3 linked regions of the Bombyx mori genome follow. The protein of the gene in region 1 binds, or shares a complex with, the protein of each later gene. Links are inferred from orthologs where the notes say so. Each region holds a gene or a part of one and is shown on either strand. Other genes may lie near its edges. The genes, in order: poly [ADP-ribose] polymerase, protein timeless homolog and histone PARylation factor 1.

Region 1 (3,653 bases):
GCGCCAGTAAAAATCTCGTTACCTGTTCTCTTTATTATGTTTCAAGATCTGCAGTTTGTAGAAGGAGTTCTTCTGAGCGACAACATCAGTGAGCGAGAGCACGACCGAATACGTTGTTTTGTAGCGGTCCGTGTACACGTGGCACTCCTCGTCCAGTTCCGATGCCGGGTCCACAGCGTTGCCGTCTGCACATACACAACATGTATTGAAACTTGTACGCATTTTATATACATTACGCACAAAACTGAAGCTTCGAAATCGAATGAAAAAATCGAATTTTCTTTTCAACTTTTCTTATAGAAAAAAAAAACAACTAAAGTTATAGTAACCGGCAAACATCTTGAGCAAATGACCTTGACTGCGCAGAACCGAATTTTAGATCACTTTGGTGGTGAGGGTGAGGCGCGACGGCAGGAGAAATCGTATCGAGCGCGTTATTGGTAGATCAGTCGAACCTTGCGCCCCGCACCGCGCCCTCGTTCCGCTTGCTCCCAAAAGTACGCTTGCGTATAGTGAAAAGTCTATCGTTATTAATCGTTACGTTTTTTGTTATAATTGCTTGTTGACTTTGTTGCCATTGCTATTTGTTAAGTGTTTGTTGATTTTTTATAAAAAAATACACTATGCAATGACAAACTGGTGTAGTATTCAAAAGAAAGGGTAGAAAAATTGTGTACGACGTATATTGCTTCATTATAAAACAGGGGAAGAATGATATGGAAAAAGTAAAACAGACTTCGGAAGCAACAAAAACATCAGTGAGTACTGTTAGGTGCATTATTAACGAAGCTAAAGGCTCTGGCTTGCTCGCCGTGTTTCGGACTCCGAGGAAGAAAAGATCAGGGAAGAAGAAAGTTACCGGAATGGATAGTTTCGTTCAATCTGTAATAAAAAGATGTAATCATAATAACTACATAACAAGCAGCGAAACTCCTTACCGTAGAAAGGCTTCGAAAAATTTAAAGAAGATATACATTTTAATGGCTCGGAATGAAGTTTACGACGAATTATGAAAGAGCTAGGCTTCAGATGAAAAAAAAACAGAAAATAATCGAAAGCTGGTAATTGAAAAAAGTAACATTCGATTACTACGAATCGAATATCTTCAAAAAATAATTAATTATAGACAAAAAAGAAGATCGAACCGACCGAGTTGTAAACTACACCGATGAGCCCTATGTCGACTCATCACGATGATGGCGACTCGGGTGATGAAAACAGTGATGATGATGATGGTCAAGATTATGATAACGAAAAAAAATATACAAATTCCAGCTTCGCTTCAACTGAACCAAGACCTGGCAACAACTCTAGTTTTGACTTAATAGAAGGAATATCTATTTTACCCCAAGATTAAATTATTACAATCATTAACCAATATTTTTTGTTGATGTTCTAATAAATATATAAAAAAATACATATATGTTGATTTTAATAATTTAATTGCATTATGACGCAGAGTAAATAGTGTTTTTGCACGTGAGTGTACCATGCGCAAACTTACCCCCACTACGTCAACAAATGCTCAAGAAGTTTGCCGGCTATTATACAAACAAAGTAAACACAAACTCGTAAGTAGAGAAAAGATGTTACGTTTGATGAAAGATAGTGAACAATTGATGGTATAGTTCTGATAATGACTTCTACTAGACTACTTACTATATTATTTAAAAAAAATGTATGAATCGTATTTACACTGCCCTTATATTTGGGAATAAAAGTGTGACGGTTGAAAGGATTTTATTTATGATGATGATGAATTCTCGTAGCAAAAGATTTGGATGTAATGATATTTACCGCGGATCTTGAGTTTGACTGCTGATTTTTCAGACTTGACATACATGCTTTTACTCTTGGGTATCGATTTTCCATCAATAATATCTTGGGGCAGCTTAGAGGCAGGCTTAAAAAAAAACAAAAAAATATTACTGGATGAAGAACAGCTGTAATAAAATATTGTAAATGTTCTGTAAATTCATAATTATTATTGTGCATTTTTATATTTGTTGAATAGGTTACGAGATTTTTTTGAAAGGTCTACTGAGAGCAACTGCATTATGAAAATGCACTGTCGAACAACCCCGCCATATATTTTTATCGGTCCATTTTTGTTTTATTAAGATTACATGACCAATAACAAAAAAATCAAAAAAAGTATAACGGATATTGCTAGCTACAATTTTTACATTGCCATTAAATTTTGTTGCATCACTAAAATCTAAAAATTTAACATTGAATTTCGAAAACCATAGAACATTATGTGGTTCATCACCGTTTATTCATATAAGATCGACGGTTAACGCGTTAATGATTTTGACATTAAAAAAACCTTACAAGTTGAGTTCAGACTTTTGTTAAATTTGGTAAGCAGCTCAGAATAAAAAAATAAAAAAGAATATGTACTTTGTTGTTATTGTTGGTATTACAATGCAACTTTTTACATAATACATCATACAAGACACTAGAGTCATTCATTCATCAAATGGGTGTATTCCATATATGTATTTAGGTACATACATACACAGCAAATTATGGCCGATTTACACTATTTCACGATTTAAAAAGTCGTATTTAGTAACTTTCTGGCTATTTTGTAGAACAGAATTATTGCTGATTCATAAGCTATATTTTAATATAATTTCTATTAAAAAATACCAACTCACATCAACACCCCAATCGGCGATATTATATTCTTTCATTAACTCCAGGGATCTGGCTACAGTTCCGGTCTCAGGGTCAATCGAATTTAGAAAACTTTCATCTAGAACCTGTTAATAAAATTGTTATTATGCAGAGTCACTTTTATTATTTACATGAATTTTTGAAGAAATAAAAAACTGTCAAGAGATTTTTTAATTTTATATTCTAAAATCATGCACTCAATATTCCACTAGAACCGGCTTGCTGGGTTTATTTTGAAAAGTTAAATTATATTTGCAATATAAAGTAAAAACGAAAACAGAACTTTTGAATGACCTGTTATATACGCTGATAATGTTAACAACGGGTGAATTTAGATGTGATTTCAATATAGAATTAGCCTTATTGCAATACATTGTGTTAGCACAATAAAAGCACTTTAAATGTTCGTACTTACTACAATATCTAGATATTGTATGGATTGCATTTTAGAAGACATTTTCTCGACATCCGCTTTAGTAGAGATGACTGCGACCGTAGCTTCAGACAGTTTACTGACGGGGTCTCCTCCGAGCTTGATAATGCGATTCTTGATATTCTCCTTTTCATTCTTCTTCAATGTTCCGTAAATGAAGAATTTCAAGTTTTTCAAAGGCGGCACACGGATTTCTTTTTTTACTCTGAAAAAAAGTTATAAATTTTTCTTTCACTGATGCATACTTAGAGAGGCCTGTTAAAATGTTTTAATATTATAAAGGAAAAAGAACGCGTGGAAATTGGTCAATGTGACCTAATTTTGAATTTAATGACAGTATTTTCCGAGGCTTGACGAGTGCTCGTATCGAAGAAAATAAAAACGGTAAGCAAAACGTTGTAAAAGGAAATGAATACAAACGGGAGATTAATCGCAAATTCATTTAAATTAGTTCATTATTTTGGCTGACAGTATAACTATATATTCAACCTGCTTTTAACGTCACGATGCTTCTGCTTCAATTACGGATTTAATATGC
Region 2 (3,653 bases), on another chromosome or scaffold:
GTGTACGAAATAAACTTCCTTTTTCTCCATCTTATCCCACTAGATGGGGTCGGCACAGCGAATTTTTCTATTACATTCTCTTCTATCAGCCGTCATCTCAACACTCACTCTTCTCTCTCTCTCTCTCTCTCTCTCCCTTTCATGTCGTCATTCACACACTCCATCCTCTTCCCCTCTACCTTGCACTATCATTTCCATACATCTCCTAGTCACATGCATCTTCTGTCTACGCTTCACATGTCCATACCACGCTAACCGTCGGCTCTTTAATTTGTTGCTTACCGTGGCTACTTTCACACTTCCTCTGATATACTCATTCCTTATCTTATCCACTCTTGTCACTCCTTACATGCTTCTCAACATTCGCATCTCCACCTCATGCAAACGCTAGATTTATTCGAAAAGTATTTCAAAATACCTGTTCATCATTAGGCGGGACCACACCGATCCCCAGCAGTACTTGTTTGAAAAGTTCTTTGTCCATGGCTTCGGTTGACTCATCGGTTATGGGCACCAGCGGTGTGCCTTCAGAGTTCGGATCGTAGCCCTCCGCTTCTTGGTCCAGGGCTAGTTCTTCTAGATTTTCCGCCAGCCATTTTAATGCTCCGGATAATCCTACAGAGGAATTTAATTTTTCGATATTGTCATTAAAGAAATGAAATAGTATTGTGGCACTTTTTTATTGCATAGATTGGTGTGGACGAGCTCACAGCCACCGGGCGTTAAGTGGTTACCGGAGCCCATAGACATCTACAACGTAAATGCCGCCACCCACCTTGAGATATGAGTTCTAAGGTCTCAGTATAGTTACAAGTTAGTTAGAAGAAGTTAGAAACTTTATTCACAACTCGCTGAGTTTCTTGCCGGATCTACTCAATGGGTAGATTCCGAACCGGCAGTAGATTCTTTTTTTTTTCCTACCTAAGCTGATAGCTTTGAGAGGCTATTTCAGCGGAACTTTAACTAGTAGAGCTCACGGGGCTTAAGCCGGAGTGATGCTAACACCGGCCCTAGCAAGAGCAGTGCTTCGCAGAATCTACCACCGGATCGGAAACACAACCCACTGAGAAGATCCGGCGAGAAACTCAGTGGGCTGTGTCTATGGGTTAATTCGAAGGGTTCGCGGTCTGCTCTCAACATCTGCAGATCGTTGAGTCTCACATACCCCGCGCGCCCCCTAGGCGCGGGGACCTCGTAGGAGGTTCGGCCCTAGGCCCGAAAAAAAAAAAGGGTAGGGTATAAAAAAAACTTTTGATGCGAGTACCCACGATTTACAATTATCAGAACGGACGAAACATGTGGGAACACAAACAAACTAACGAATGTTATATCAATAACGTATTAAGTTTGATTATTTTAGGAGGATCGAAAGTTTTTGTTCGGTCCTGGGGCAGGTATCGGCTTTCCAAATTAATTCTGTAACTAACGCACGTTCACGAACGACTTTAACTGGGACTATAAGAGTTACACTAACGAAACTGTATACTACCAAGACTGTATGATGAATATACGTGACAAAGCTCCTGTGACAGTCAGTGAAAGATTTACGCTTAGGTCCGTGAGGTCCGGCCCTAGGACGGCATCATTTGAGGTGCGGCAAAATTTTTGAAATGCCAAAATTTCAGAGACGAATACCAGTAAAGTTATTTAAAATATAAAATATAAATATTGGATAAAAATTTTGTTGTAAAATTAAGGGCGGCGCGATAAACAAGGACTTGGGCGGCATCAAACCTAAATCTGTCACTGGTGACAATAGAAACAAACGTAACAAAACATTAAAATTATTGTTGTGAAATTTGTTCTTCAAATGCGAATCTTAAGAACGTCTATTCAAATAATTTGATCAAATTGGCTCGCTCAAATAGTTTGATCAAATTGGCATGATCTTCTAAGCAACCACAAACCTCCACGCAGATTTGAAGCGGCGTCAGTTCAATATCAAAGCGTCCAAAGAGTTGTTGTGCTTCTTTAAAAATCTCTAAAGCTGATTAAATATAATGATTAATGATAAATCTAGGCTACGGTCTGCACTTGGGTATATTTCTTAAAAAAAAAATATTAGTTTACGATAAGTAGCATTCCGCTTATCTCTATTATGGAGGTGTTTATTTTTTATATTCTATAAACATGATTCACTTCTATATATTTGTATGAATTCTTCTAATACATCGCGGTTCGACATTATGCAATGCAGCACATCCGCACAGGAACACTTCCGCAACATCAACTGAGCGCTCGGAACACACACTCTCAAATTTTTAATCAAAGAGTTTGATCAAACTGTTGGACCAACAAAAATACGAAAGTTCATATTTTTTCAAGCTATTTGATTGCTCATTAAATTTGATCAAAATTTCCAATAGACATTCATGCCAATTAGATGATCCATGCCAAACTCTCTGAACAAGCCAATTTGATCAAATTATTTGAAAGTCAATGGGCCCATTAGGCGCTTATTGGTGGTGGGGTGTGAAGTGGCCTCGTGTTAGTGATTTTAATTTTGTTGAGTGATTAATTATTGCAGTCGATTTTTTTGTCCTACCTATTGGCTGATTGCCTGAGGGGCTATTCCAGCTACGCTATGTCTGGTAAGGGCGCTCACGGATTAAACCTCAGAGAGTGAGCTAACACTGGCCCTAGCAAGAGCAGTGCTTAGCAGAATCTACCATCGGATCAGAATCGCGACCCACTGAGAAGATCCGACCAGAAACTCAGTGGCTTGTTTGTGGTTACCTAGCCGACGTTCCAAGCCACTGGACGATCGGACTATTAGGCTATTATTATAATTTTCATCAGTTTTTGCTACTTACCGTTGTCGACGGCGCTGACCAACAACTTGGCGACTTGGCTCGCATTCAATTCCACGCGTTTAGCTTTTGTCTGATTTTTTGTTTTGCGGGGCTTTGGTGCCGTCTGTTTGGACGGGAACGACGTGCGTTTGGTATCGCTCTCCGATTCGGATCCCGAACTAGAAGATTCATCGTCTGAAACATAATATTTCTAGTGATTTAATTTTAGTCCTATTTGAAAATTTCAGATTAAATAACGCGAAAAGTTTCGCTGCTAGAATTGCCAAAGAAAAAAACAGATGAAATTTGATTAAAGTCGACGGTTACAATTTCAGGAAAATCAAGTTTTTGAAGGTTTTGTTTAAATTTTGGTTATTATCAAAATTATTATAGTTATTCAGATATTCCTGGAAGTTAGTAGTAAAAGGCATATTTACTATTACAAAAATCCTTCTGTTTGTTTTTATTTTCCATTTATTAACATAAACAAATATGTTTAAATTGCTCAATAGTCATAAAACTTGAAGAGCAACGCGCCATGTCGTTTTCAAGATCCCATTTACGTTGATAATAAGATAGAGAAAATATAAGGAAAGTAAGGAACAAATTTCACGCAGGATTTACTTTCCAATAGTCTATTTGAGACTTATTGGAAGGCTTCAGAAAAAAAAGTTTAAGCCTGTACCCGCCTAATGAGAGAACGGAAAGACGAGCAACGGGCTCTGACACGAAAATAATCAGTGCATTACATTTTGACAACGGAATAGTGTTGCTCTGAACGGATAGCATTTTAAATCTTTCTTTGCTTTTATTAACTGCTTAGCAAAATCAACGAAAAAGCTTTCTTGCAACGTACTTCCC
Region 3 (4,444 bases), on another chromosome or scaffold:
TCCGGGGTCTGAGATTTCTCCTCCTAATACGGGAGGAAATAAGCGTTAAATTTTCCCTCGGAAATAGCACCGCTGTATTTTTCGCTGGGTATGGTTTCTCTGCGCGGTTGATCCTAATATTTGCTGCTCGACTCGTTCCTCAAAAAATGTCGGACAGGCAGCCAACAACATTATTTAACTAGGGTTTCGATTTTTACTTTTGAATACCAGAGCTCTAGAAACAAGTAGCTGTTATTACATAATAAGTACCTATACTAAGATTGTGTAAAATACTAGAATACAAGAAAATTGTAGACTTTTGGTGCGATCGCGAGGAGCTTAGTTGTGTGCATTGTTTTATTTTGTAAATTTATTGTTTTTTTAGGCGCAAAAGTATAATAAGAGTGCATTATCAGCTATTAAGCTGTGAAAATGCACTAATAGGGAAAATGAACCAAAGCCGCTGGACGTATCTTCTCGGCTTTTTCCAAAGAGTGTGCTGAAAAAGTCTTAGTAAATAAATACGATTTTACTGAAACTTTATTTCAACTCATCTCAATCTCATTTCATTTAATTACATCCCAAATGATGAGTCTTATCTTCATCTCATTACGCTTTATTTAATTTTTCTTAAATTTAACAGAGTAGACAAAACATTATGGTGTGATACCTTCGCTTTTTCAGTTGGAGAAATTGAAAAACAACCTGGTACATAGATAATGTACTATGTGTGAGTATTGTCTACAGTGGTCTCGAACCTACCGATTTTTCGGCATTTCTACTGATATGGGCTCTGTTCTACCGAAATACCGAAATATAACGATTTTTCTACGATTTCAGAGTATACATGGAAATTCTCCCGATTTTTCTACCGATTTGACACTTTTACACATTATTGATCCAAAAAATGTTAAAATTGGCAAAACTACTTCGATACTTCTTAAGAGAAGGCTCTTTCCCAATATTGTTCACAGCAATGATTTCCAGGAAATTGATATAGAGTGGCGCATTTTAAGAAATTGTGAACAAATCAAAACATTTCCTAATGATGTAAAACTATTTTGGGATGAAGTAACTTTACTAAAACGTGGCGATGAAACTCAAATGTTTCCTTTGTTGTCTAATTTCATCCTTAATATTTTCTATTCATCCGCTAACGTTGAACGCATATTTTCACATATTAATCTTTTGAAAACAAAACAGCGAAATGGGCTGTCCACTGAATAAATCACTGGTCTATTATATGCAAAACGACTCTTTAATACAGCTAATTGTTATGATTTTGAAATTAATTCGACGATGACTGCAGCTATGGCCAAACAATATTGGTATAAAAATTTATTATTCTTAAATATGATTGTTATAAATTAGTCTGTTTTTTTTTCAATAAATAAACGACTTCGATTGAATGTTGTATATTTTTTGAAAAATACCGATTTTGGATACAAAATAGTACAAATATACCGATTTTAGTTGGCAAGTCTACCGATTTCGCTTTATGACGTTCGAGAACACTGATTGTCTATGGTGAGTGGAGGCTGTATGGGCTTAGATCCCCTTGCCTTTCCTAACAAGGAAAAATTGTACTAACGAAGAAAAATGTCTATGGTGTTATTTATTTTGCTATTTGTTTGCTATGAGCTAACCTGGTATTAAAGTTTATAAAAAAAATCAAAATGCCTCAGAGTTAACTAAAATTCATACGCAACATTAAGTCCACAAAGGTAATATGAAATCATAAACGTGCAAAATAAATGGTTATTTATTTTGCTTTCAACACTTATTATTTGTATATTTGTACCTAGATGATTCACCTTTATCATTAATCAATGAAAAGCACTAACAAAATTGTGATCTGAACTCCAGACAAACATACCTGCTTATTTACCACTTCTTTTCTTTTTGGAAATTATTTATTTGAAGCGATGTCAGAAGCTTGTAATTCAAATGCTGAAGATTCGAGAACTGTATGCAAATACGGCGAAAAGTGTTATCAAAAAAATCCCGAGCACCACAAAAAATACAAACATCCAGGGCAAGCAGGAGCTTTTGAGAAAAAAAATGAGAAGAATCCCGGAAAGCTCAGAGAAAAACGTTTTAATCCATATTCGAGCGATGACAAACCTGCTAAGCAGCATAAAGTAGGAGATAAAAAACCTGACATCGAATTAGAAAATGGATCTGGTACATCAGAGAGCAGTACAGTAGTAAAGATTGACACGGTTAATCCAATCCACGCACTGAAGCTCCCTAAAAACATAACTTATTATGACAGTTCTGATCATTCAGTACTAAAAGAATTGTTTCTGGTAAAAATGCCTTCTGATTTCTACAAATTTTTCGATTGCTTAAACACTGATGATGCAATTGTTAAAATATGTTCATCTGTGAATTTAGAACTGATTGGGCCCTTTGAGTTGTTGTTAGGAAAATTACCTCAATTAGATGACAAAGAATTATATTTAGTGCACTGGAGATTTTTCTATGATCCCCCTGAATTTCAGGTGAGTAACATCTTAACATATCTTAAAACAATATTAACGCTTGAAAGGCAAACGTGACTAAGCGAAAATGCGTGAACTTTACAGGAGACTAATTTAAAGTTGAAATACCTCAAAAAAAATTTATTTTAACGAATCCAGCTGTAGTAGAATCTAGCTAGTAGCTGTAGGATTGAAATGATTTTAATAGACCTAGTTTTTTTTTTTTTTAACATCGAAAATGGTTATTGCCGTTCATTTATCTACAAAGCAGTTATTGTTGCTTAGTCACTTTTGCCTTTCAAGTGTCGATATGATCCAAAAGGATTTAATATATACAAGTTTTTATTTATTTATTGCTTAGATGGGTGGACGAGCTCACAGCCCACCTGGTGTTAAGTGGTTACTGGAGCCCATAGACATCTACAATGTAAATGCGCCACCCACCTTGAGATATAAGTTCTAAGGTCTCAGTATAGTTAGATAGGGGGATAGGGGGATTAGATATAGGGGGTCGAAGTTGCATAACGTCCGTAGGAGATTACCCACCGCTATCCTACACGTGACCCCTGGGTGGTGCTAATAGTGCAACAACCTGGCAACCGAACTGTCCTCCTGAGGATCTCCCGGTTCCAACTACACTGCGTCAATTATAAAACCCTAATCACAAACTATAAATTTCAATTATAACCACGCAGTGTAAACGAATGCCATACGATAAATAAATAAATAGTATAGTTACAACGGCTGCCCCACCCTTCAAACCGAAATGCATTACTGCTTCACGGCAGAAATAGGCGGGGCGGTGGTACCTACCCGTGCGGACTCACAAGAGGTCCTACCACCAGTAAAAAAACTTAAAGAATCAAACTTAAAGAAACAAAACAAAACAAACAAAGAATCAAAGTAATCTCAGAAATCACTTTGTATACATATAAATTATTGATATATGGTGCATTTGATTGTAAATGGTTATTATCACTCATGGAAGTCTGCAATGCTAGAAGTATAACCAACCTGTGGTCTATCATTGAGTGCACAAACCCTATTTGTAGAAAGACCTCTTATAGTGCCCAGGAAACACAGAGGAGGGAAGTTTATTCCAAAGCCAGATAGTACCTAGCAGAAAATCTCCAGAAACTCACATTGGATGAATGCAGTGGTGTGATGGGAAAAAAATAGTTAATAGGATCATTGTGATCAATTCCTAGAGATCTGCATATGAATCAGTAAGACATATCAGATTAGAAATATCGACATATAGATATGTATAATACAGAAATATAGAATATTTCAGATAGATTGTTGATGACTGAAGAAATAATATAATTTCTTTAATTTTAGGCTGTTTTGAAAATAAAAGGTAAAAGTGAATATCACATTGGATACTTTAGAGATGACCCAAACGATGAGCCAGTCTTCTTAGCGAGCAATGATAGTGCGAAAGACTGCCAAATTAAACCATTGGCTGATAATATTTTTGGGGCTGTATAGCAAGTATCAAAATATTTCTTTTTCATTCCATAATTTTTTTTGTTATTTATCACTTCATTTTTTATTTAAGTCTTAATAAAATTTTAGCAAAAGAATAAGAACATTAATTACTCATATATTTTGGGGGCTTAAAGGATTCCAGATTCTGCTAAAGTCTTTATTAACTCTCCACTGTAACTGGTGGTAGGACCTCTTGTGAGTCCGCGCGGGTAGATACCACCACCCTGCCTATTTCTGCCGTGAAGCAGTAATGTGTTTCAGTTTGAAGGCTGGGGCAGCCGTTGTAACTATAGTTGAGACCTTAGAGCTTATATCTCAAGGTGGGTGGCGCATTTACGTTGTAGATGTCTATGGGCTCCAGTAACCACTTAACACCAGGTGGGCTGTGAGCTCGTCCATCCATCTAAGCAATAAAAAAAGATATTTTTGAGATGTTTAACCTTAAACTGATCTGTTGTACACCCTAGTATGCTATTTTGACAGGGTGAACC

The links.
Region 2: the proteins of poly [ADP-ribose] polymerase (region 1) and protein timeless homolog are in contact, whole or in part, in a crystal structure (PDB 4XHU), measured with the Homo sapiens proteins. The link is inferred for Bombyx mori from reciprocal best matches to the Homo sapiens genes PARP1 and TIMELESS. Residues at the interface, in NP_001609.2 of Homo sapiens: Gln846, Lys849, Pro850, Phe851, Leu854, Arg878, Ile879, Ala880, Pro882, Asn928, Lys940, Lys943, Gly944, His946, Tyr992, Asp993, Ile994, Ala995, Gln996; in NP_003911.2 of Homo sapiens: Asp1036, Gln1040, Pro1043, Val1045, Pro1046, Leu1047, Thr1048, Glu1049, Glu1052, Glu1053, Glu1056, Ser1074, Gly1075, Gln1076, Glu1077, Thr1078, Phe1079, Arg1081.
Region 3: the proteins of poly [ADP-ribose] polymerase (region 1) and histone PARylation factor 1 are in contact, whole or in part, in a crystal structure (PDB 6M3I), measured with the Homo sapiens proteins. The link is inferred for Bombyx mori from reciprocal best matches to the Homo sapiens genes PARP1 and HPF1. Residues at the interface, in NP_001609.2 of Homo sapiens: Thr825, His826, Asn827, Ala828, Arg865, Met890, Lys903, Asn906, Tyr907, His909, Ser911, Gln912, Gly913, His934, Lys953, Ser983, Leu984, Leu985, Tyr986, Glu988, Thr1011, Ser1012, Leu1013, Trp1014; in NP_060337.2 of Homo sapiens: Asn234, Val236, Asp261, Arg264, Leu265, Phe268, Gln272, Glu273, Thr276, Phe277, Gln279, Phe280, Asn282, Asp283, Glu284, Cys285, Tyr287, Tyr304, Lys307, Val308, Gln311, Leu315, Leu319.

The regions. Positions count from the first base shown.
Region 1 is NC_085128.1:12,954,109-12,957,761, reverse strand, and holds part of poly [ADP-ribose] polymerase, read right to left. Parts: intron 3,321-3,653; coding exon 3,098-3,320; intron 2,769-3,097; coding exon 2,664-2,768; intron 1,904-2,663; coding exon 1,798-1,903; intron 186-1,797; coding exon 23-185; intron 1-22. UniProt on the Homo sapiens protein: Poly-ADP-ribosyltransferase that mediates poly-ADP-ribosylation of proteins and plays a key role in DNA repair.
Region 2 is NC_085115.1:6,751,128-6,754,780, forward strand, and holds part of protein timeless homolog, read right to left. Parts: intron 2,988-3,653; coding exon 2,814-2,987; intron 616-2,813; coding exon 419-615; intron 1-418. UniProt on the Homo sapiens protein: Plays an important role in the control of DNA replication, maintenance of replication fork stability, maintenance of genome stability throughout normal DNA replication, DNA repair and in the regulation of the circadian clock.
Region 3 is NC_085119.1:13,717,660-13,722,103, forward strand, and holds the start of histone PARylation factor 1, read left to right. Parts: upstream 1-1,567; 5' UTR 1,568-1,904; coding exon 1,905-2,483; intron 2,484-3,803; coding exon 3,804-3,952; intron 3,953-4,444. UniProt on the Homo sapiens protein: Cofactor for serine ADP-ribosylation that confers serine specificity on PARP1 and PARP2 and plays a key role in DNA damage response.